Mytilus edulis: one gene and its partner. The protein of the gene in region 2 interacts with the protein of the main gene of each other region in a pairwise test. Links are inferred from orthologs where the notes say so. Each region holds a gene or a part of one and is shown on either strand. Other genes may lie near its edges. The genes, in order: proteasome subunit beta type-4-like and proteasome subunit beta type-7-like.

Region 1 (11,341 bases), on a different chromosome or scaffold from region 2:
ATGCATATGATATCACACAATTATATATTTTGGACTTGCGTCTTGCCAACTACATCAAATTTCCAATGAGGTACGATCATCGTGCGTAACGTCATTCCTTTACAGGTGTGAATGGGTTTTTTTACCCGAAGAAAACGTTCATACATCCGAGTTAATGCAGCAAGTTCTTTAATTAGAAAATCATTAGAAAATCAAAAATATTTTTGTTTTGGTAACTATGTGACATTTATAACTGTTAATTTCCATAGATGCAGAGTGCCGACAGATTTGTTGCAAAACGTAACAGTTATTTGACATTGATTGCTTTATCGTTTTCCCCGGAATATTCTGCTGATTGTTGACCTTCAAAAATATCATTTTTGAAAATTCTATTGATACCTAAGCATCTGCAAGATTTATCTATATATATAACACTAGAACACACCCGTGATATCGCGGGTCAGTGACTGTATTAAAGTATTTAGCTATGCGCAAGCCTTATTTTAGTATTAGTATTGTCATCTGATAAAGTCATGCCGATTGTAAGATACACAGTTTTCTCTGCTTTCAAATCTTTCTGTTTGAACCCGTCGAACTGGAACTTATCAATTATTGATAATATTAATTATTTGGAAAACAAAAGGTCCTGGAATGGAGTACTTTTTAATCAACAGCATTGTCCTATATAAGTTATAAATAAAGTTGAATTCTTTGATTGGCTGTTTTACATCATGCCCGATAACAAATTGAAAACTGTACTATACGCCTTATTTTAGTCCAGATTTTTAGTATTCGTATTGTTATCTTAGAAAGTCTAACTGATTAAAATACTACAATAGGTAACAATTTGACAATTAAGTAGTGTCAACCCTGTGATTATGACCCGTGTAATACTATATAGCATATTAATCCTGAATACACCGTTTGGTGGCGCGCCTGGCAAGTGCGGAACGTACAGATAAGGTAATCGGTAACAGGTGAATATACTATTGGTATCGGTATCGGACTCGACCCAGAACTTCTTAATTATTGGCAATATTATTTACGTGGAAAACAAAAGGGCCTGGAGTGGTGTAATTTTTAATCTACACCTTTGTACTATATTAGTTATATATAAAGTTGAATTCTTTGATTCGTCGTTTTTACGTGATGACGGCTGACAAATTGGACCTCGTAATTTTAGTATTATAGATATCTTCTTATGCATTACGGACTGAGTTTTAACACTTTATTTTTATTCTTGCAATAACTTCTCATTTATATTCTTGCAAAAACTTTTCATTTATAATGCACGCCGTATCCCTATGAAATTTTGTTTTGGAAGTAGGAATTTAATTTATAGAAACTCAGGTTGGTGTATGAAAATCCGGGAATTGTAACCCTATTAATGCAAATCCGTTTGAATATGATCACAAAAAACACCAATAGAAAAATAGAAAAAAACAAAATTTATTGGACTGAAAGAATACGGATTGAATAAGGAAAAAGCAAAACACAAGCAGACGTTGAAACTCATGATCATACAAAAATTAGTTTGTCAGCATGGAATGGGAAAAAAAAATGGTTATTGTTTGAATAACTTTCCCTGTATTCCAAGTAAAAACAGTCTCTGAAATTCATTGTTCTGTACAGAAGAAATCCGATATAGAACCGAAATGGTTTCTGGATTTTTTTTGGGTGTTTTTTTTTGTGTGAATAAATGGAGGTATGGGATATACAATAAGATAGCAAAGGCTATACAATTAACGACATCAAAACCATAGACATTTTTCAGTTTCCTAGTACATATTTGTTTAAGTCCTTAAACTTCTAATTGAACTTCTGGAGAAAAATCAAACCATAATGAAATCAGGAGATGTGGTATAGTTGACAATGAAACAATTTTCCACCAAAGACCAACTGACGTACATGATAGCTTGCTAACATTGCTACATTTGATAACACCAGTTTACCATTTCACTACACTGCATATTCACTGATACATGAATTGTCACCACATTCCTTATAAAATAGCACCATCATATTGTTTAACCGTTCGGCAGTCCAATTTGCACTGGGTATATATATAGGTTTCATATATACGGCTTATCTATTAGGACGGCAGTCTTTTAAATAGTATACCTGCTTGCATGCTTGTACTAAAGTTGCGTATATCGTCAGGGTTTTTTTTTTTGGAAATGACAGGTTGCTGGATTTGGCATTATGATACATGATATAAAATAACATGCAGAATACAGACTCCGGCTTACATGTCGTACATGCACAATTTCAAACTGGAATTTTTGCAGGGAGTGTTTTACTTATATAGAGGGTGCATATGTAAGCGTAATTTCATTCCACCGTGTATTTATTCCGGGTATCTGTTTTTCACTAGAGAATATTGGAAGTAAAAAGTGTCACGAGCGTCGATCTTGGTATCGTTGTTTTGTTTATATTGACCGGTTTATTGTTTACATATACATTTATGGGTTGAAATTAGAATATTTTTCAGGGAACCAGTGTAATAGTCCTTCATTACTGAGTAAAAGTATAAATTTTTCGTCAGAAGACAAGTTATAAAATTGATCGTTATGTTTTACTGCTTCATTATACAGTACAGTTCAAGAGTACCAACTCTCCCACACCCTACACCGAGGAAAATGTCGGAGCCACTCCGACAAACTCCGATATTCCTCTCAAAATGTTGGGAGGAATTTGGGAGTAATCTCTCCCAAAATCAGGTAAATGTTTATTGTGATAACGAGCTCACTCTCGACACCGAGGAATTAATTGCCCTTATCCTACTTTGATCTATACCGGCACAAGACTGAATGGGTAATTGGATTACCTGACAGGTAAAGGTTGAAGTTATAAAGAGTTATATTTCCGGTCTACTGTACCAGTTTAAGTGTCAAACCGGTGTATAATTTTAAATGTCTTTTATACTAATTAAATTTCATTTGTGGTAATAAAAACTAAAGTCAAAATATTTTCGTATTTTTTGTTAGCCCATCTAAAAATATCTTAACCTTAATGTACTTGCTTTAAAAAAAAACGATTATAAAATATAGCGGAATATGTGAAAAACAAAATATTCTACTTCAAAGTTAAAGTCTTTATTTAAAAATTATAAGTCTAAAAGTTTTATATATGCAAGTAAAAAGGAAAATTTATTCACCATTCATTAGACAAAATGATTGCCCCGTATTAATTGTGTAAATCTACGGCATTTTCTTTTTACGATTATCTAATTGCTGGAATGAATAAAAGATTTAAAAGCAAAATGTTGTTGTTAATTCTTTCAATTGTATTTAAGTTTTATAAAAAATGAAAACTACTTAATTTTGACCTCGATGTCTTCACCAGTAAATTAATATTTTATTTACGAAATGAGCATACTTGTGTAAAAATAACCGGAAACTTTCGCTAAATTAATCTGAGCAGTTAAATAAAATTACGTGTTTGAAAGTTTTGTATATTCAAGTAAAAAGGAAAAGATTATTCACCATTCGTTATGCTTTTAAAACAATTACGGCATTTTCGTTTTACGATTTGTTGGCAGTACAGCAGAATAATAATACATTTCCGTTACAACAGGAATACTTCCAGCTGCATTAATTCGTCTTTGTTTAATATTAACTTTCGCACAATGAATGTAAATTTGTGTATTTTCAACAAAAGATTTTAAAAACAATTATTTGCCGTGCGAAGACAATTCCACGATACACATCTCAGTTATCAACAGTTTGGGTTGAACTTGACTTACTTAACAATGTTAAATGCTAAAAATAGTTAACATCAATGTTATCCACAGCACGAGTTTATTAAAGGGCGGGAAAAAATATCGCGTACTAGTAAACTCAGGTGACCTTTCTGGCCGACCGTGGGAAAGTCCATTCAAGGTTTCTAAAGTTGCAGAGCGACATTTTTGTGCAATCGTATTGAGGCTCCAGAAGGTCCTTTTACAATTGATTTATCGGGAAAATATAATTCTTATCCGAATAAACGTGAACACATTTTTAACTATTTGAATTTTAATGTTTTATCTTTCAAAAAAGAAAGTACATTAGTTATATGTCCATGGTCAATAATATAGATTTACAGTTGGTGATGTATTAATGGAAATTATGATGGAAATTGTCCGGGGTGACTGATTGTATTCAAATGACAATAATCATGATAATACGATAAAGAAATGCCAATTGTAGGCGGTTGGGAAATTTTGAAAATAAAATGATGACTGATTTAACTGGAATAGAATATTATGATGGGCAATTATGAGGTTTGATAAATTTTATTAATAATTAAAGGATTAGTGACCTATCGGATAGCGATAAGCGGATTACTTATCATCACAACTTTTAACATCTTTTGTAAACGTAAAATGATTGAGCGTCATAAACTTGTCAAACACCGGTAGAATTATAGTACATTTATAATATAATTAATGTGAAAATATTTTTCACTTTCCAAATTCAAATGACGAAATTGATATAAATACTTTCGTCAATTTGAAAACCGTTCCGTAAAATGCGAAAATGACGAACACTATCAATATCACTTGAAATTATTTCCTTTGTCAACAGAGTTGTCATTTAACAGTTTCTGTTCGTAATTTGAATTATTCAAGTCTGTATAAATGTACCGAGGTGGTGAAACATCATATTTTACATTGCTCAATAAATTAAGTTTACTTGATGATCCGATGAATCGGGTTACCGAAAAAAAAACATGATTTTATTAGCCAGTTGATTTTTTAATAATGAACAATTAATGCGCTGATATTGCTTATTGAATAAGTTATAAAAGAAACTAATTGTGGCAAAATCGTCCTTGCTGAAAGAACACAATGTATGACCTGACCGGACTGTAATAGAAACACAAAATAACAATTTTCTTCATACTTTTTCGTATGTACGTTCTATTTTAAAGATAACGGCATAAGACACAAATATAAAAGATAATAATTATCTTATTCTAAATGATATTGTCACATCTTTATCTGTCAAAGAAAGGAAAACATTTGTTCAATTTATAATACCGTGATTTTAAAGCACACCTGTGCAACCAAGATCGATTAAATGTTCAAAGGTAAATTATCTGGGTAATCCAATTATGTTGTCACGCGTCGTTAATTTGAAGTACATCCGATGGGCAATAAACCAATTAACAGCCACGCGGTGTTGGGAGAGAATCTTTGGAGGATTTTAGGAGTGAAATCCGCGGTACTCGGTGTGATTCCGAGAAACACGGAAATCGGAGAAAAAAGTTATCGAATCGATATTTTTGAACAGTACTGTACAATATATTTCGAAGGTCTGCATATAAAGGACATAAAGTAACTACCTGTTTCTCATCTTCAATTTCGTTTTTACACATGAAACAACATCTTTCATTTACTCGCTTTTTCTCATATCGTCCTGTTTCTATTTTAATTGGCGCAACGCCACATCTAAATTTTGCATAAGCACTTCTAAATTTAATAGACATATTTTGTTTTAAATATAACTCTGTACAATATTGTGATTTATATCGCTTATAAGTACGAAGCATGTTACCATTACTCTGTGACAAAATTTTCGTTTGCCATTCTGCAATATATTTATTAAATAAAACATTTTCAATTTGTACGGAACAACTTTCTTTATGCAGCACACTATTAATACTAGTATACAAATCAAAGTTACAATATTTAAGTTTTTTTCATGACTCTATTACACTAGTTTTTCTTATTATTTACAGCATTTTTATGGGACCATTTGAAAACTTTATAATTTATTCTGTCATTGGTCATGGCACTACATCTTGCCCAATGCCTTAAGACACATGTTCATTGTTTTACACTAGGAGGTCTCCATCCCATGTCCCCGTTAATTTCATCATTTGGCGTATACTTACCAACACCTATAAAAAAAACCTGATAGCTCTGTTCTGGACAGCGTTGATACAAGAAAAAGAACGAGTGCCCCAAATGGATGCACCGTAGCTTATTACTGACCAGACCAGAGTATCAAATAATGTTTTAAAGGTACTGTGCTAGAAACCACAATGTGCTTTACATTTAACACTTAATAAACTTAGAGCTCGACTGGCAGACATGGCTACAGCTTTAGCCATAATATTATGATGAGTGGTGGATATTTGGAACTGGATTCGGATTAACCAACCTTTTAAATTCTGTTGATGGATAAAAAGCAATATGTGAATTTGTCGCAAAAATTGACGTTTTCCTATAAAATTACAAGACCAAAAATGGTGATCAAAGTTTTTATGCATACAATGACTTATACTGATGTAACTAGATTCAAAATACAAGTGTGCCAAAAAGTTTAGAAATCGGGAGATATGCCATTCGGTATCGTGTTACGAGTTTAAACGTTGAAAATCTTTATCGATTCATTGAATTCGTTTCGTCTAACGTTATAGCGTAGAAACGTCACGTTCCGTAATATAGCATTACTGATGTAAACAAGATGTCCACAGCTCCGACTGCAAGGGATTTCCTTTTGTTAAGATGAGTTTCTATATAGTGTACAAGCATTTCAGGTATGTAACTTGTTTATTTTATCAAGTTTTACCATTTGTGATACATTTTTCGTACTTGAGCGCTCGGGCATTGTCTCTATCGTCCCCGGGTAATCTACCCGGGAGCTTGCACCATTGAAGGTAATGGAGGGCGAGCTGGACTCAGTGACAACAAAAAAAAAAAAAAAAAAAAAAAAATGAGTCACTGAGGCCAGGGCTGGACTAGTCTAAAGGAGCCTGTAATTCAATGGTTTTCGTTTGTTACACATTTGTTTTTTGTTCATTATTTTGTACATTAAACAGAATGGAGCCAAGAAAGAAATGATCTGTCAAATGTATCGGTCATGCATGGTTTTGAACTGACTGGTAGACTAATTTCAACATTACTACCAACAATGACATTAATGTTTCAAAATAAAGAGAAAAAAGGGGGGATTTGTAACACGGCTTCGTCTTTCTATGTGTACTTGTTTATTGTGATATGCCTTACAGTGTACGTTTAGCTGCACCAATCTGTGATTGATTTTGCATTGCAGTCTGTCCTGGGCCTGGGAAATTGTAAACGGAACCAGGAGATGGTCCATTTCTCCAAAATTCTGTAGACATCATACTCTCCGAAGTCATCTTTTACCGGAAGTGGATACCGACTGCATTACTCTCTAAATTTATCAAATCAAAAGTTAGTAAATGAAGTGAATTTTGCAATGCAAAATACGACAAAATATTAATGTAAAGTTAAAAAACCTCTATACACCTAAAGTTTCATTCAGAATAATAAGGAATATGCTTAAAGACTAAGTCATTCTAAGGGAGGTAACTAAAAGTGACAAAGTGTTTTACATCGGTCAGGACATTAGTCACGGGAGTACGTAGTTGGTCAGGTCAAGTTTTCTAACTCTTGAAAATATTTTTTTTCTTATTTTTTCTTATATTTTTGTATTAAATGTATAAATCTTCCTTGGTATCGAATTTGAAGTCTATCCTGTCAATAATAAAACATTTTTTAGCCGTTTCATATCGGTCAGGACATTAGTAGTTTCAAAGTCAAGTTGGTCAGGTCAAGTTTTCTAACTCTTAAAAATATTTTTTATTTTTTTTTAAATTCTATTTATTAAATATAAGTTCTCATCTTGCTTGATTCCAAATTTCAAGTAAATCCTTCCAATAATAAAAAAGTATTAAGCATTTTCATTTCTGTCAGGACATTGTCAGGTCATTGTCAGGACATTAGTGTAACCCACAAAGTGAAAGTAGGAGGAGCGAACAAAACAAAAAATGTTGCGAAAAACGAATAGCTACTGATTTTATTTTATATAACACAAAAATAGTCTGGACATCTTGTAACATAAGCTTGAATGTAAATAATTTGAAGCATCTGTATCTCGTTAAATGGGGATTCCCAATGGGCAAGGGAAAAAACATAGGCATTGAGCCACAGGCACTTGTTTCTATCACAGGCACTTGTTTCTATCCATAGGAAGGTCGACTATCCATATAAATAGATATATTATGGATAGATTAAATGGATAGTCGACCTTCCTATGGATAGAAACAAGTGCCTGTGGCCTGTGCATTGAGCTTCCAAATTAATTTTTATGGGGACTAGGATGGAAAATGTTGAACTGCATTTTTTAGTTGTAAATCTCTGTCCTGCCTTTTTATGAGGGTAATAATTCCCTTCAACGCCTTGCTTCATATGGTAATTTAGCTCACCATTAATGTCAAATTGGTTTAAATTTTTTCTGCAATACCATTGAATACTGAGATTCGAAGGCGTCCCAGAAAAAAAAATATAGCCTTGTCGTCAACATATCGTTATTGTGATTCCTCGGAGGTCTCAAATAGTTATCGTAATGGTTATTTTTTGAAAAAAATTAATTAGTAATTACAATGATTTGTCAAAACATTTCAATTTTATTTTATCATCATGCCTCAAAAATTACTGTTAATATCATTTGGCAAAAATTTTAACTTTAATCATCATAAAAGTACTTCAATTACGACCATTTTTTATTTTTCACCCTTTTTCGATCTTGGATTTTTTTTTAATAGTTTATTAGGTGTGGAAAGACCTTTTGTTTTTCTTCTGATTAATTTTTTTTTTTTTTTTTTTTTTTCCTTCTACCATCTGAGGTGCTTTTTCGTCTTACAACATATCGAATAGATTTTTGGCCAATGATGTTGTACAGTAATGGGGTTTCAAAACTCACCCTGTGTGACCAAACACTTATTCTTATAGAAGTTATCTCCCCGCGTCCCCTTTTTCTTGTTATCGCTATATCTCTAAAACCGTAAAAGATTTTAGCAAACTGTTTTCACCAATTTGTTCGTCTATTCTTAAGAATGATTTGGTTTATTTTGACTTGAGTGATCGGAAGACATCTTACGGGAGTTATTTCCCTTGAAAAATTTAAGATGCGATTTGTTGGATAAATTCATATGTTATTAGTCGTAGAGGCCTACAGTCTACTGATATGAAGTCCTTGGTCCATTGAAGGAAATTGAGGTTTAGGTCAAAGGTCAAGGTCATGTAATAAATTTTGAATATTGCTTGTTATCGATATTCCAAAGAAACTGTGACAGTAAATGACATGATGTGTTTGCCAAATAACTGTTTACAAAAAGGTGCAACTTCAACCTATTTAAGTCGAAGAGTTTTGGTTAACCCTTATAGGAGTTTTCTCCCCTTTTGTATTTGAAATAAGTATTTCTTCACAACCATACAAGTGATTGACCATGGGTCTTTTGATTTGAGATCACTGACCTGTGACCTCAAAATTGAGGTCAAGGTCAAAGGTCAATTTGACGTTCTAGATTTTGACCTTTGCTAAAAATTCTTTCTGGTTCATTATAAAACAATTAAGTTTTCTGCATAAACCTATTAATTTTTTTTTTTTATTTGTATCAGTTTTATTTACCACATTACATCAACATGGACAAAAATGATGGAGTGACATTTTCTTACATCGTTTTTTAAATTTCATTCTTATTATCGAGGTGGAATTGTTCTCTGAAGAGTTGGTTTTTATATCTTACTTTTCTTACTGAAATTGTCATCTTGCTAAATTTTTTAGGCCAAATTGCTCATCCTGCTTTTTTTTTTTAACTCAAAACTTCTGTCTTATTTTTATTATTTTCATCCTAGCGCTATTCCCCTTAAAAATCAAATGGAAGCTCCCTAACTTGGCCAGTTGTTATAAAAAAAAATCCTTTTTTCTTAAACAAAGGAATTGTATCATTTGTGTATATATCATTGTTATAGTGAGCCAAATCCTTGCTGAAACAATTATTAATGTACATGTAAATGTATTATTTTAAAATATTGTATACAATGATACATGCTTGTCTTAATCTAAAACCTACCAGAACATAATGGCTTGTGGTAGAGAAAATGCTTCTGCAGCATCAAATATATACCTATTGACTGTGCTGTCAAACATACCTGCTTAGCACAAATTGTCTCGCATTTGCTGGGTTACTCCTTCATGCTTCAAATTCTTCTCTTATTATCTCTGTGTGAGTGTGTTTGAATGGTATGCACTGGTTAAGATTAGGAATGAGGAAATGCAGTATCCAAACTGTCAGCTCTGTCATATTATTTGCCACTGTTTGAAGTTACACTAAGTCACTTCCATGTTGCCTAATCTGATTAATTTGGTTGATAAATAAAGTATTGTTAAACTGTCCTCATTTGATATTTGATTGAACAGGGGCTAAAAAATCCACTAGCCCGACGCCCGGGACTAGATCAGTTACGCCTCGGGCAATTAAAATGTGTAATCCGATATGCCCGACGGACTAGTAACAAAAAATTCTTGACGTTTCCAAAATAGAAAGTGAAAAATCCGTTCATCACTATTCTATGTTAGCCATTTCGATTCAATTAAGTCATCCGGGATTCCAAGAATTTGAACTGGTTTGTACAGGTCCTGTTGTACATATTTTAAACATAGAACAAATAACTCTGGCATGTCTGGGTGGCCTGGTATCATGTGTTGATTCTCGTACTTTAAATATCGATTTCTCATACCATGGATTGAGGTATTGTACATTGCGTATCGTGCCGAGATTTTCAATTAACGTTATTTGGGGGTATGATGTATTGATTGGTATTGACATGTCTTGTTGCACAGCTCTTGAGCACGAAACTATGCAACAAAATATTTCTTAATATTTTAGTACGGGAACCCCAGGAACTTTTGTCAGTTTCAAAACGAAACACGGTAGATGAATGGAGTAACGAGGCTGAAAATTCATCCCCCCAAAATGCTAAATACGACAGGGAAAAACCGAGGAAAAAAATAATAGTGTCCAGGACAGCAGGGCTGTCAAGTATTTAGCGTGAGACTCACACATGTTCATGCTTAGGGAGCTACCATTTGATTTTTATGGGGGGGCTAGGATGAAATTTGAAAAAAATAGGCAGGACAGGAGTTTTGAGTTAAAAAAAAAGGCAGGATGAGACACCTTGCAAAAAAAAAAAGGCAGGATGACAATTTAGGTAAAAAAAGTCAGGATAAATTAATAAAAAAAAAGGCAGGACCGAATAGAGTGAAAAATAAAAAGGCAGGACAGAGATTACAACTAAAAAAAAATGCAGGACAAAATTTTTCATCCTAGCCCCCCCATAAAAATCAAATGGTAGCTCCCTTATTTGGCAGCATTTTCCTTTGATCTATTTTTTTTCTCTTTGATCTTAACAATTTGGCCAACAAATCATGCATTCACTTCCTGAAAAGTTGGCAGAACTGGGACACAATGATTACCCTGGCAAGGTTGGCTGTTGCTGATGAAAAAAACAGACAATGCTCTGTTAATATTGCCGTTTGTTGCCCCAAGCACGCCAATAAAAAGTCTG
Region 2 (11,341 bases):
TGTTTTGTTTTGGACAAATGATTGTTCACTGCTAGCAAATGAATCATTATATTTATATATCTTATCTGTATATATTTTTGTTCATGTCTTCATCTCCTTATCATTTGTAAATGTATAGACAAATAAGAAAGAAATAAGCTCCACATGTATATTTGCAACATCGTAAATTAATTAAAAACAACATTCTGTTGTAAACAAAATTATGATATAAACTTCAATTTAATCCTTGAAAGGAGGTCTAGATTGCTAAAATAATTTATAAATTTTAATTTTTTTATTTGTCCAAAATCATTTAAATTCATTTAATCAACATCCTTTTATGATTATTTGATTAAAATATTAATCATTTATAGTCTTTTTACAATTTACATTTTTAAAAGCAAAATAACTGAAAACAGGATAAAACAAAGGGAAGTAACAAAAAAGTATTTCAATATTCCCAATACACATCGTTTTGATAACACAACGGCAGTTAGCCGGAGGTAAACATCGTTGATTACCAGTATGTTTGACACCCAAGCTGTCAATTGAAGCCATATAATTATACATCTTCTTTGATGTTCAGGTAAAATTTAACACAGGTGTCAATTACACCCGTACAGTAGTAAGAAATGATCAAATATGGCGTCTGAAAAATTTCATACACGGGAGTTTTTTCTCCTAAACGGGAGGTTCACATGTATGTTACGAAGGGCATCTAATTCACATGACAAAGGAAAACCATGAATAAAGACAACACTTTATATATCCTTTTTATTTATATAAAAACAAAATCTTCTTGTCTGCAGGATTGCAAATTCGTAACTTCAAGGGCGAACTTGTAAACAGGGCGAGTTGTCCCGATACCAAATTCACGCATGCGTAATACAAATATCTACAGTTAAAACATCCTGTTACAAGTAAACAAATAACGTTCATGTGGATGAGATGAAATCTAATAATTTACATAAATAAAAGGGTCATATTTACGATAGTGATTGTTTTACAATCATAATTTACAAATTAAATGATTCAGATGCCTAATCATGTGTAAAAATCGGTGTCAGGAATCTAAGTTGTTTTGAAATTGTAATACACGAAATGAATGCGGCATACGGAGACTCAATGTCAATGGTCAGCCCCTTAAGTCTTCAGAAGACTTGACGTCTTCTTCCACTAAAAATTATCATTAATGAGTACCACTTGCAATGACTTGTACAGGTTATTTTTATTTACTTGAAGAAGTGAATATTTACATTGTATATACTTATACATTGTACAAGTAAATTTGTAAGATACTTACATGTATACATATGATACAAATGTAATCTATTTACTTGCATATGTATATTATCTTAATGGCTTATCTATGTCCCTTAATATTATACACATTCAGTTTTTTCTTCTAAAGTAAAATAGTTCTACTGTCCTTGGCTATATAAATAGCAAAACAGTCACTATAAATATATGATCACGATGAACGGATGGTTATTTAATGTCCAGTTATTGCTTTCTCCATGAGGGAATAAATAATAATCAGTCAGAGCTCAGACATAAACAAGTCTATTTCTGTTTTTGACTTAAAGAAGTTAAAACATGTATTCTTTATAAAAATGTGTTTTCAATTTTAGACTTATCTAAGTCACAAAATGACAGACTTGTTTAGGTCTATTTATGTTGATGAAAAAACTTAACTTGACTTGGTGGCCAAACTACACCACCTTTGACAGTAAAAACCTGTCTGAGAGTTCACAAGGACTTGATCTATCTATATTTAATTATCTAATTGAACATCCTTACTAAACACAGATGTTTTACCTCATTAAGTGTGGATCCAGGTGGTTGCATTGTAAGGTTAATTAACATGATCCCCGATTTTTCAGACTCTCATTCATATTTTTCTTTAGAAGATCTAGACAAGGCATTGGCTTTCAATGTTGTCATTATTTGATTTAGATGCATGACCTTTTTATAAGTATGCTTGGGTCTTGAAGTTGACCAATTTTGGTAACTTATCGACTTGTAGGAGTTGATATTTGCAACTGTTTGATTCTGGTCAATCATTTCTTGCTTAACAATATTTGACTTATTTAAGTCGTATTTTGTCTTGCATTAAAGGGAGACAAATCCTAAAACTTACAAATTTAGACATCTATAAGTCAAAAGCAGATTCAGACTTATTTATGTCTGAGCTCTGACTGATAATGGGTGACATTTCTCTATTAGTTAGAATGTGTCAGTTTTCAGATAATTTAATAAACTAAGTCTGAGGTGCTTTTTCTACCTCTTCTTTTTAGGCCAGAATTTTTTAATTTGTTGGTTTACGGATTCGCCGACTCGATTTTGCCGATTTCCAGAATAAAAATAAAATTCACTTTTCATGCTTTTTTATTCCCGCCAACCCTAACAAATGCATTATCCCTGAAAAATAATTAAAATATTCTTTTATTTATGAAATGAAATGCATTTATCACTATCAAAATTGATAACACTTTCTGTAGTGTAAAAAATAAAACTTCCAGTTTACGTTTCTAAAAATAGACAAATCAATTATAACATGTATAACTGACCTTGAAAAATCAGAAATGTCGTTTGCGCAAATAAGTTTGCGAAACGTAACCTTTAAAACCAATTACAAAATAAGTTGTTTCCCGTATTTGTCATCAGTCCGTAAGATGCATCATCTGATAGAAATAGACTTGTCCAAATGTGGACAGGTGGAAGACGTCAAGTTAAAGAACTGAATATTAAATAATCATTTGGAATTATCTTGTTTCATAAATCTATAATAAAAAATATCGTTCATTTGGATAAAAACCACAGTGTAGATACTATTCTGTACGCTATCCGGAAGTCGCGATTTTCGAAGCGATGATTTCCAACTGGCTAACAGGACGGTTTTGCCTATGGTAACTTTTCTCATCATTTGTTTACTCCTATATCTACAAAGTGCTTTGAACATCTACAAGGTGTATATAGCATCATAAATTTGAGTAACTGTAACAAAAACATACATTAGAATATAAAATATACGTGTGCATCACATCAACTTGGTAGAAAAAAGTGAAATCGATGGACAATTTTGCTCTCGTAGTACAAAGCAAATAATCTTTTATTGCAAATATTTGCATCAGTTTACAGTTTATATACTGTTTCAATATTCTTTTTGTATTTAAGTAGAATATTCGTATTTCCCATAAAAAAATAGTTTTCCTTGAGGATCCTAAAATAAATTACTGTACGATCAGTCTATAACTGACTGTATTCTAGAAGCGATTTCAGATTTTTTGACTGTATGACCAGTCGTGATTTTGAAGAAAAAACAACAGCAATTTGAAGGTATATACGTGTATATATGTGATATTATGAACTATCCCGGGAACTATAACATAAGTAATACATGATTCGCTTGTGGACTTTGTAATAGTGTATCGTTGCAGTTATCTGTTTAGCTATTATATTTTTAAAGATTATTTACACCGTCCGCCGTTGAACAATTGATGATAACATAAATCAAGATTGTCTCTTTTAAAATAACAAAAAATGGATAAAGACAGCTTTGCGTAGGGGGATAATTCATGTGATATAATTTTGGTAAGTTTACAGAAATAGAAGGTCCATAATGCATTAATCGAGTAAAAATGGAGCAATTTCAGAAAAGTTTAATGATTGGTTTAGGAGGTGTTGGAAATACCTGATGGGTGTCCCCATATAATGCAATGTTCAAGTCCGTATCTTATATAAAGTAACCCCATACAAGATTTTTACTAAAATTTGAAATAGACGGTTCACAATACAGTCATTATCATTTATGATAACATAAATGGAATCCCCTTTTCTCCTGGATTGGATCCCCTCTCCATTTAAAAATGGCCGGAACCCCCAATGTATATTAAGTTATTTATGAGAAGATGCGCTTACCAAACTGGCGAAACATATTGTACCGGTCCAACGGACGAACGGAAAGACGGAATTCTTTATCACTATAACCCCCCGCTTGACAAAGTGGTGGACAATTGAGTGTCAAAGAGACAGCTCTACATCTGTGATCAATTATTGGCTACAGTACGGCCTCGAATGTGTGTAAATACATGCATTTTTATATAACAACTAAATCTGTGTGTTTGTACAATTTTAAGAATAACGGAGGACATTTCTGAAACTTATATACTAGTATACATCAAACCTTTCTCTTATTTTAGCAACATTTAAACATCCTTATTCTTAATGTAGTAAGTCGAGTACACCCTATAAAGCTAAAACATGTTTCATAAGTTTTCAGGATGTGAATTCATTGAAATATATTTGTGTTATTTAGAAAAATGCCACCTTCTAATGTATCGTAAATAACTTTGAAATCACCACTAGAATACAGTGACATAAAGACTGATCATACAGTTTTAAATATACAAGCGAGACTGATCGTACAGTGAGAAATTCAAACAAGTGTAATTTTCTTATTTCTGGCTTCAAAGATCTGGTTGAAACTTTTACCACCACTTGAAATATACTTCATTTAGTTAATTAAGTCAGGTTTTTATGTTGATTTGTACACTAAGAGGGTAAAAAGATTGTGTTTAGGTTCGCCGACTGATTTTTCTTAGTGATGCACTTGAAAATCTCTTGATTAAGGCAAAGATACGAATAATGATTGTGCGGAATTTAATTCTTAACCATTTGAAAATATCGATGCCAGCTGAATTAATCATTAAGCAATGTACAGATGATCAACTTACCGTTTAATTCAGTATACCTATCAAATTTAAAATGTGATCCAAAAAGTTCTCGCTTCGAAAATCGCGACTTCCGGATAGCGTACAGAATAGTATCTACACTGTGAAAACAGTAATGCATGACACAGATTAACCCGATATCCTCGTTTTTTCCAGTGGACGAGTCTATTACGTTTGTTGACACGTGTGTTGAAACTTACTTTCATACTCGTGACGTTTTTACATTTTTTTTTCTTTATCAGTTTTTGTGCTTGAAGATCATAATTCGCCAAGTTTTCTGAAATTAATTTTCTTTGTACGTGCACCCCCCCCCCCCCCCCCTTTTGTTTACGGGAAATTATTAGAATGTCATGCGATGTTTATGACAGCTGATTTCATCGAACTAAAATCTAAGAAATGATGATAAAATAGCATCACAAACATATTGTTAGAAAGATAAAATATATATTTGTTTTCCATATTTTTCTGTCTTGAAAGATATTTTTTTTTCTTTTTTTTCCGACCGACCGACTCGACTTTTTCATGGGTAAAATCCGTAAACCAACAAATTAAAAAACCCTGGCCTTAGTGTTATAAAAAGAAAATTTTTATGAAATAGTGCATTTTTGTTTTAAATAAAGAGCTACAAATTTTAGCAATGGACAAATGTTTAATGAATCAAACAAGGACTCAGTTACCCATGTTAGATCTGCCATTTGTAACTTCTCAACCCTTATCGCTTCATTTATATTTACATTAAAGTACATGTAATTGAGCAAAAATCTCCAGAGTAATTACAATGGTTTATTTAAAAGTGCTCTATTTTAAGAACAAAAAGTAGATTTCTTTAAAATACAAAAATAGAAATTTATAAATCACACAAAAATAATTCATCATTCAAGATAAATAACGAATGTAACAGCAACTTAAAGGGTTGTGAAATGCAGAATGCATAGTTTTAATAAATAACATGAATAATTGGGTTCTACTTTGAATGAATTGGGTTTTTAAACACTCAGTAAAATATTAATTGAATTGGGTTTTCTATTGTATTAATACACCTTATCGCTATTTGTCAGCCATTACTGGACATCACAAAGGTTCCTTTAAATATTGACGTCATAATACAAAACATCTGACGCCACAATGTAAAAGTGATAATCACAAAAAAGGTAGGACATTGAAACTATGTAAAAAATTCTTGTCAAAATTATGTCTCAAAGTTACCCCCAAAATTTGCTCTTAAAGTCCAGACGTGAAAAATGGCTTCAGCCTTATGAAGTCGTAGGACGGCATCACAGAAAAATAATAAAATAGCTTTGCCAGACATTAAAATTATAAATTATTTGGACAATAAAAAAAAAATAAGAGTCTATTGTCTGTAATTTTGAAGACCAACAGCTCCCACCACAAAATACATATACAATGCTGAAGAAATCATCACATTTGAAAACCCTCTGAGCTTTTTTCTTGTAGATCAAAATGAAAATTCGTTAAATTTGTCATTTTTGTATACAAATAAATATTTTTTTCACACAAAGTTGCATAGTCATTGCTTGTCGTTTTCAAATGAGAAGATAATCGTTTCCAGGGTACTGAAAGAAGGGAAATTTATATTTAAAGATAATGCTGAAAAGGCGTCATTTGAACATTCATCATTATTATATCTAAAAATAGTTAAACCTCTGGCAATTATCGAAATTAAAACCACCGGTTGGTAACTCTGTGAGGGCAGCCATCATTCAATATTGTATCTGGTACCTTGGAGAGTTGAGTCTCACGAATCATAGTAATCATTGACCGGCAACCAGATGAAATATTCGCTCGGAACTCTTCTTGCATTATTGATAACAACTACATTTTGCGGGAGATTTCTTATTTTTCTTTAACCAAGAACTTGAAGAAGAAAGAAGATCAAGAAAGTAATGCAGAATAATTATGCAACACTAAATAATTTGATTTTTTAATTTTGTTTGTACAAATATGCTTGTTTGTTTGGTGAACTCTTCCTGCATTAGCTATCAAAAACTACAGTTCCAGTGGAAATTATCTGCTGACTATGTCATGGTACAGTTTACATGTCATATATATATATAAATTACACGTGTCTTATGTCTATCTCTAGATTCGCCTTCTGTGAAAAGATAACACTACGACTATTGAAGTTATATTTTTATACAGCGGATTTGGTCGAGTGGTCTAGAGCACTGGACATGAGGCTAAGCAATTGGTGCTGTAGTGTATTAAAGGTGTAAGTTAAAATCCTGTTGAGGGACAGACAAAAATTTATCAGCAGAAAACCTAACTCTAACACTGTTTGGTGTTATTTTCAGACTATGTATTTTTCATTTCCGTTCTCTGACTTAAGTTTGCCTCAACCAAATGCAATCAAACTTACATATATAGAATAGAAAAGAATAGAATATTTTTATTTCCCAAATTACAGGGCCCATAAAGGGCATAAAATCAGATACAATTGATTTACATAATTGGTAACAACAACAATAGTGGCATATACATATATATTTGGAATATAAGCGTTGGTCAGAATCAAGCTAAAAACCACACACATTGTATATATTGTGAATAAAAGAATAATAAAATTACATTATACATGTATATGTATTAATTCTCAAATTATTTACTTGACTTAGTGTCAGTGTTCATACCTGATCTCCTTAATTCAAAACAGTCACAAATATAACAGCCCAGTTTTTCCATAAGAGTAACATTTTCTTGGGTCAAGAGCCATACAACATGTACAAATTTAGAAGATTGATTTAAATTTGTAAAATTACAACAATTGTTAGAAATGTCTTTAAAAAAATCGTCCCTTTGAATATCATAAAGAGGGCATTCTAATAAGAAATGAAGCTCATCTTCAACTTTACTAAGTATATATGTATACACAATGCTAATAAAACAACAAAATAAAGATCAAGTTTGAATTTGGGGGGGGGGCCTCACTTTAACCATTCTAGAGTAATGCTCCTTCACAAACATGACAAATGGAAAAATTGCTGAATTTTGTGTTTCCCTCAACCAAATGTTATGAAAATTTTACACTATGCTTCTTACCACAAAAGTTGTCACTAAAATTTTTAGAGTTATGCCCCTTTATGAATGGAAAAATTGCTGAATGTTTTGTATCTGTTCTCTTACATGTCTAAATTAAGTTTGCATAAACCAAATTTTATGAAACTTTTGCACAATTCTTACATGTCTTATTACCACAAAACTCAGATTAACATGATTTAGTTCAAATTTTGGTAGAGTCACTTTTTCTGTTCTTCAGCATGTTCAGTAATGTCCCTTTATAATGATATGCAAGCAGGGGCATCTTCTGGGTCCCATGAACACATTCCCCATTTATCATGTTTATAATTTTATGCTATAGAAAAGGTGTTGTATATATTTTCATTTATTTTCATTTTTATAACTTTGAAAAATAACTTTATGATTTTAACCATGTTTACAAGTTTTACTTTTAGCCATGATTATCAGGGGCGGATCCAGCCATTTTAAAAAGGGGGGGTTCCTAACCCAGGACAAAGGGGGGGGTTCCAACTATATGTCCCCATTCAAATGCATTGATCGTCCAAAAAAAAAGGGGGGGTTCCAACCCCCGGAACCCCCCTCTGGATCCGCGCCTGATTATGATCATGATGATAAAGTTTTTATCATGTTTATCAGACTTGTAAAATTTTAAGAGATGATTTATCAAACATGTATGTATTTCATCTTATTCCATTAATATTTGTTTCTTTAGTTTTCTTTTACATTAAAAAAAATAATGATAATGACTAATATTGATTTCTTCTTTTATTTTTGGGATGGGATTGCTTTTAAGCAATCTGTAGACTTATACCATTGACTCAGGCCCATGCCCTCACCGTTATGAAACTGATATTTGATATTGTACTTCCATAAAGAAATCATGGAAATGGAGGTCGTTTTATTAACATTTTATATATGTCCTTGCTACAAATCACAAGTCTAGTTTGTTTAGGTAATTATGCGCATGCATATAGTTTTCTTGACTTGAAAGGGTATCAGATTGAATGGTTGCTCTAGATTCCCAACTCACGAGATCCTTTCTATGTCTGTCTGCTATTGAGGGTTATTGTTGTTGCATAATTTTAAATCTTATGCATCATTGAAATTAAAAGAAATGTAGTCCACAACGTAAAGATGTTATAAGAACACACCTTCAGCCAAAATGGAGTCTTCCATATTATCGCTTCGTGTTGTCTCCCTCAACTAGTCTCCCTAGCTTCTGTAAGTATCTGTCAACGACAATACGTCAAGAAAAAAAATCTTTCTGTTGATAGACGTTGTATTATATTAAAACCAATCGCAATTTAAACAGAGGAATGCCCACTGACCCAAAGGAAATTAAATATTAAAAGAGTTAGGAATGGGGTTCAACCTAGAATTCACATAGGAAAATAGGTGATAAGTACTGCGATGTTGTGTCATGTGTATTATTGTTTGTCTGTTTGTCTTTTTCATTTTTAGCCATGGCGTTGTCAGTTTATTTTCCATTTATGAGTTTCTGGTATCTTTCGTCCCTCTTTTACACGTGCAGTTGAATTATTTTTGAAATAATAAATACATGTGTCAATGAAAACAATGACAATAGTATTCCTCAGAGCAATCTGCCCTTTGATTATCTTTTAAGATACAATTTTGTAAATTTATTAATCTGACCCTGGGATGTTACTTTTATACAATGCAAATTACAGATTCAGAAATAGTAAACCAGATGATCATGATCAAAGGAAAAGATAAACTAGAAATGATTTTTATGCAGTTAAGCTGCATTATGCGAGCACCCTAGATTTGTGTTCTACCCAATAAATGGTGAAATACTTTCCATTGTTATTATCTAGCTCGCTACTATGTTATATATAACTAATTGAACACTTTTTTAATACTTTTTATTCTGGATTACAAAAAATATGACCAGAAAAACCTTAAATGATCGTCGATTTATCCAAAAGTTTTGAAGTTACACGTAGGAAGTAGTGCTTATTAAGAATCCTTGTGTAGTTCATTATGACTTGTGCTTTTAGCTAAGATGTCAAAGAACAATTGTATGAAATATTTAATCGCCGAAAATCTCTTAAGACAAGTAGTTTAGATTTCCCAAATGGCAAAAGTCGTAGGGATATTGTTTGTCATCAATACGTAGTACAATTACGTCAGTAGTTGGCGGCAATTTCAAATTAGAAAAAGAAATTTTCGTAGCTTTTCAATTTGGAGGCAGGTGTGCAAATTAGCGGTGGTCCGAGGTCCGCGACCTTCCACTTTTGCAAGCGGAATTTCGACTAGGATAGTTGGTTTCTAGCATCGCCCGACGCTTACCTTCCACTTGAAAGAAAATAAGAAATTACTTTGCAAACCCTCCATGCAAGTCACCAAAGTCTCCAATTAAACGAGCTAAAAACTTATTTTTATCATTATTATTCATGACAGCGATGTTCATTTTGTTCAACCGCTAGCTTTATACAGAAATTCGCCGACAAATATTGTATAAATTCGAGTAAAATCGTATCTGATTGACAAAAACAACATTGTAAACACAACAATGGCGACCGTGAAGACAAAATTTTACAATATAGGATCCGATTCCGGAAGCGGATAAGGAAAATTCCGGGTTTGGCGATCATTCAAAGCAGGTGAAAAAATAAATCTATGCATGGTATTTAAATGAATATAGACACTAGAATTGTAAACCAAAAGATATATGTAAAAGAAAGAAAAAGCAGAAAAATATTTTATACAGAAACTCAAAATTACTTTTTGACAAATTTTAATTTAAAAATCCAATACAATGTGACAGCTGGGAACAGTATATCTAACAATATACATGTTCATGGTCACAGTCTAAAATTTTCTTTATCAGTGATAAATGATGATAATGCATGTGAGATGCTTTTAAAGTGTAAACATATTACTGCAATTTCGAAGGGTTATTTTTTTTTTCTCAATTTTGAAGGGTCAATTAAAGTAGCTGAAAGTTTCTTTATTTTCACAAATAATGCAACAATATTATATATACCTAAATGTAAGTGAATCATATGATATATAGGTGGAATTCTTTGGGCCACTCCACCCCCTCCTGTTTGATAACTTGGAAACGGTCGAGCTCCCCACCCCTAAACCATATGAGGGGCAGATCCAGCATTTTAGGTAAGGAGGGACACAAACTTAAATTTTCGCCGAGCAGAGCAGGAACATATATATTCATATAATATATTAGATATACTGTTCCCAGAGTAGAGCGAGGCTAAAAAAGGTAAAATTATCGGAATATTCTTTATTAAGCTGAGAACAACCCATGCTTTGCAAATTTAAGGGGGTGCAAGCTCGCAACACCCCCCACCCCCTGAATCCGCCCCTGCATATATTCAAGTATAGGACAATATAATAAATAAAATGAAATATAGGGGGAGTTCCTGGAATTACCCCACCCCTCCTGTTTGAGCACTTGGAAACGGTCAAGATCCACACCCCTTAACCATATATATTCATGTTTGTGACAATATGAAAAATCAAATGAAATATAGGAAGAGTCGCTGGGGGTCACCCCACCCTTCCTGTTTTAGAATTTAAAAATGTTCCAGATCCCCACCCCTAAACCATAT

Evidence for each region.
Region 1: the proteins of proteasome subunit beta type-7-like (region 2) and proteasome subunit beta type-4-like interact in a two-hybrid assay, tested with the Caenorhabditis elegans proteins (2 studies listed by BioGRID). The link is inferred for Mytilus edulis from reciprocal best matches to the Caenorhabditis elegans genes pbs-2 and pbs-7.

The regions. Positions count from the first base shown.
Region 1 is NC_092354.1:64,494,045-64,505,385, forward strand, and holds the start of proteasome subunit beta type-4-like, read right to left. Parts: upstream 7,138-11,341; 5' UTR 7,108-7,137; coding exon 6,974-7,107; intron 1-6,973.
Region 2 is NC_092345.1:65,567,521-65,578,861, reverse strand, and holds the start of proteasome subunit beta type-7-like, read right to left. Parts: upstream 6,485-11,341; 5' UTR 6,434-6,484; coding exon 6,375-6,433; intron 1-6,374.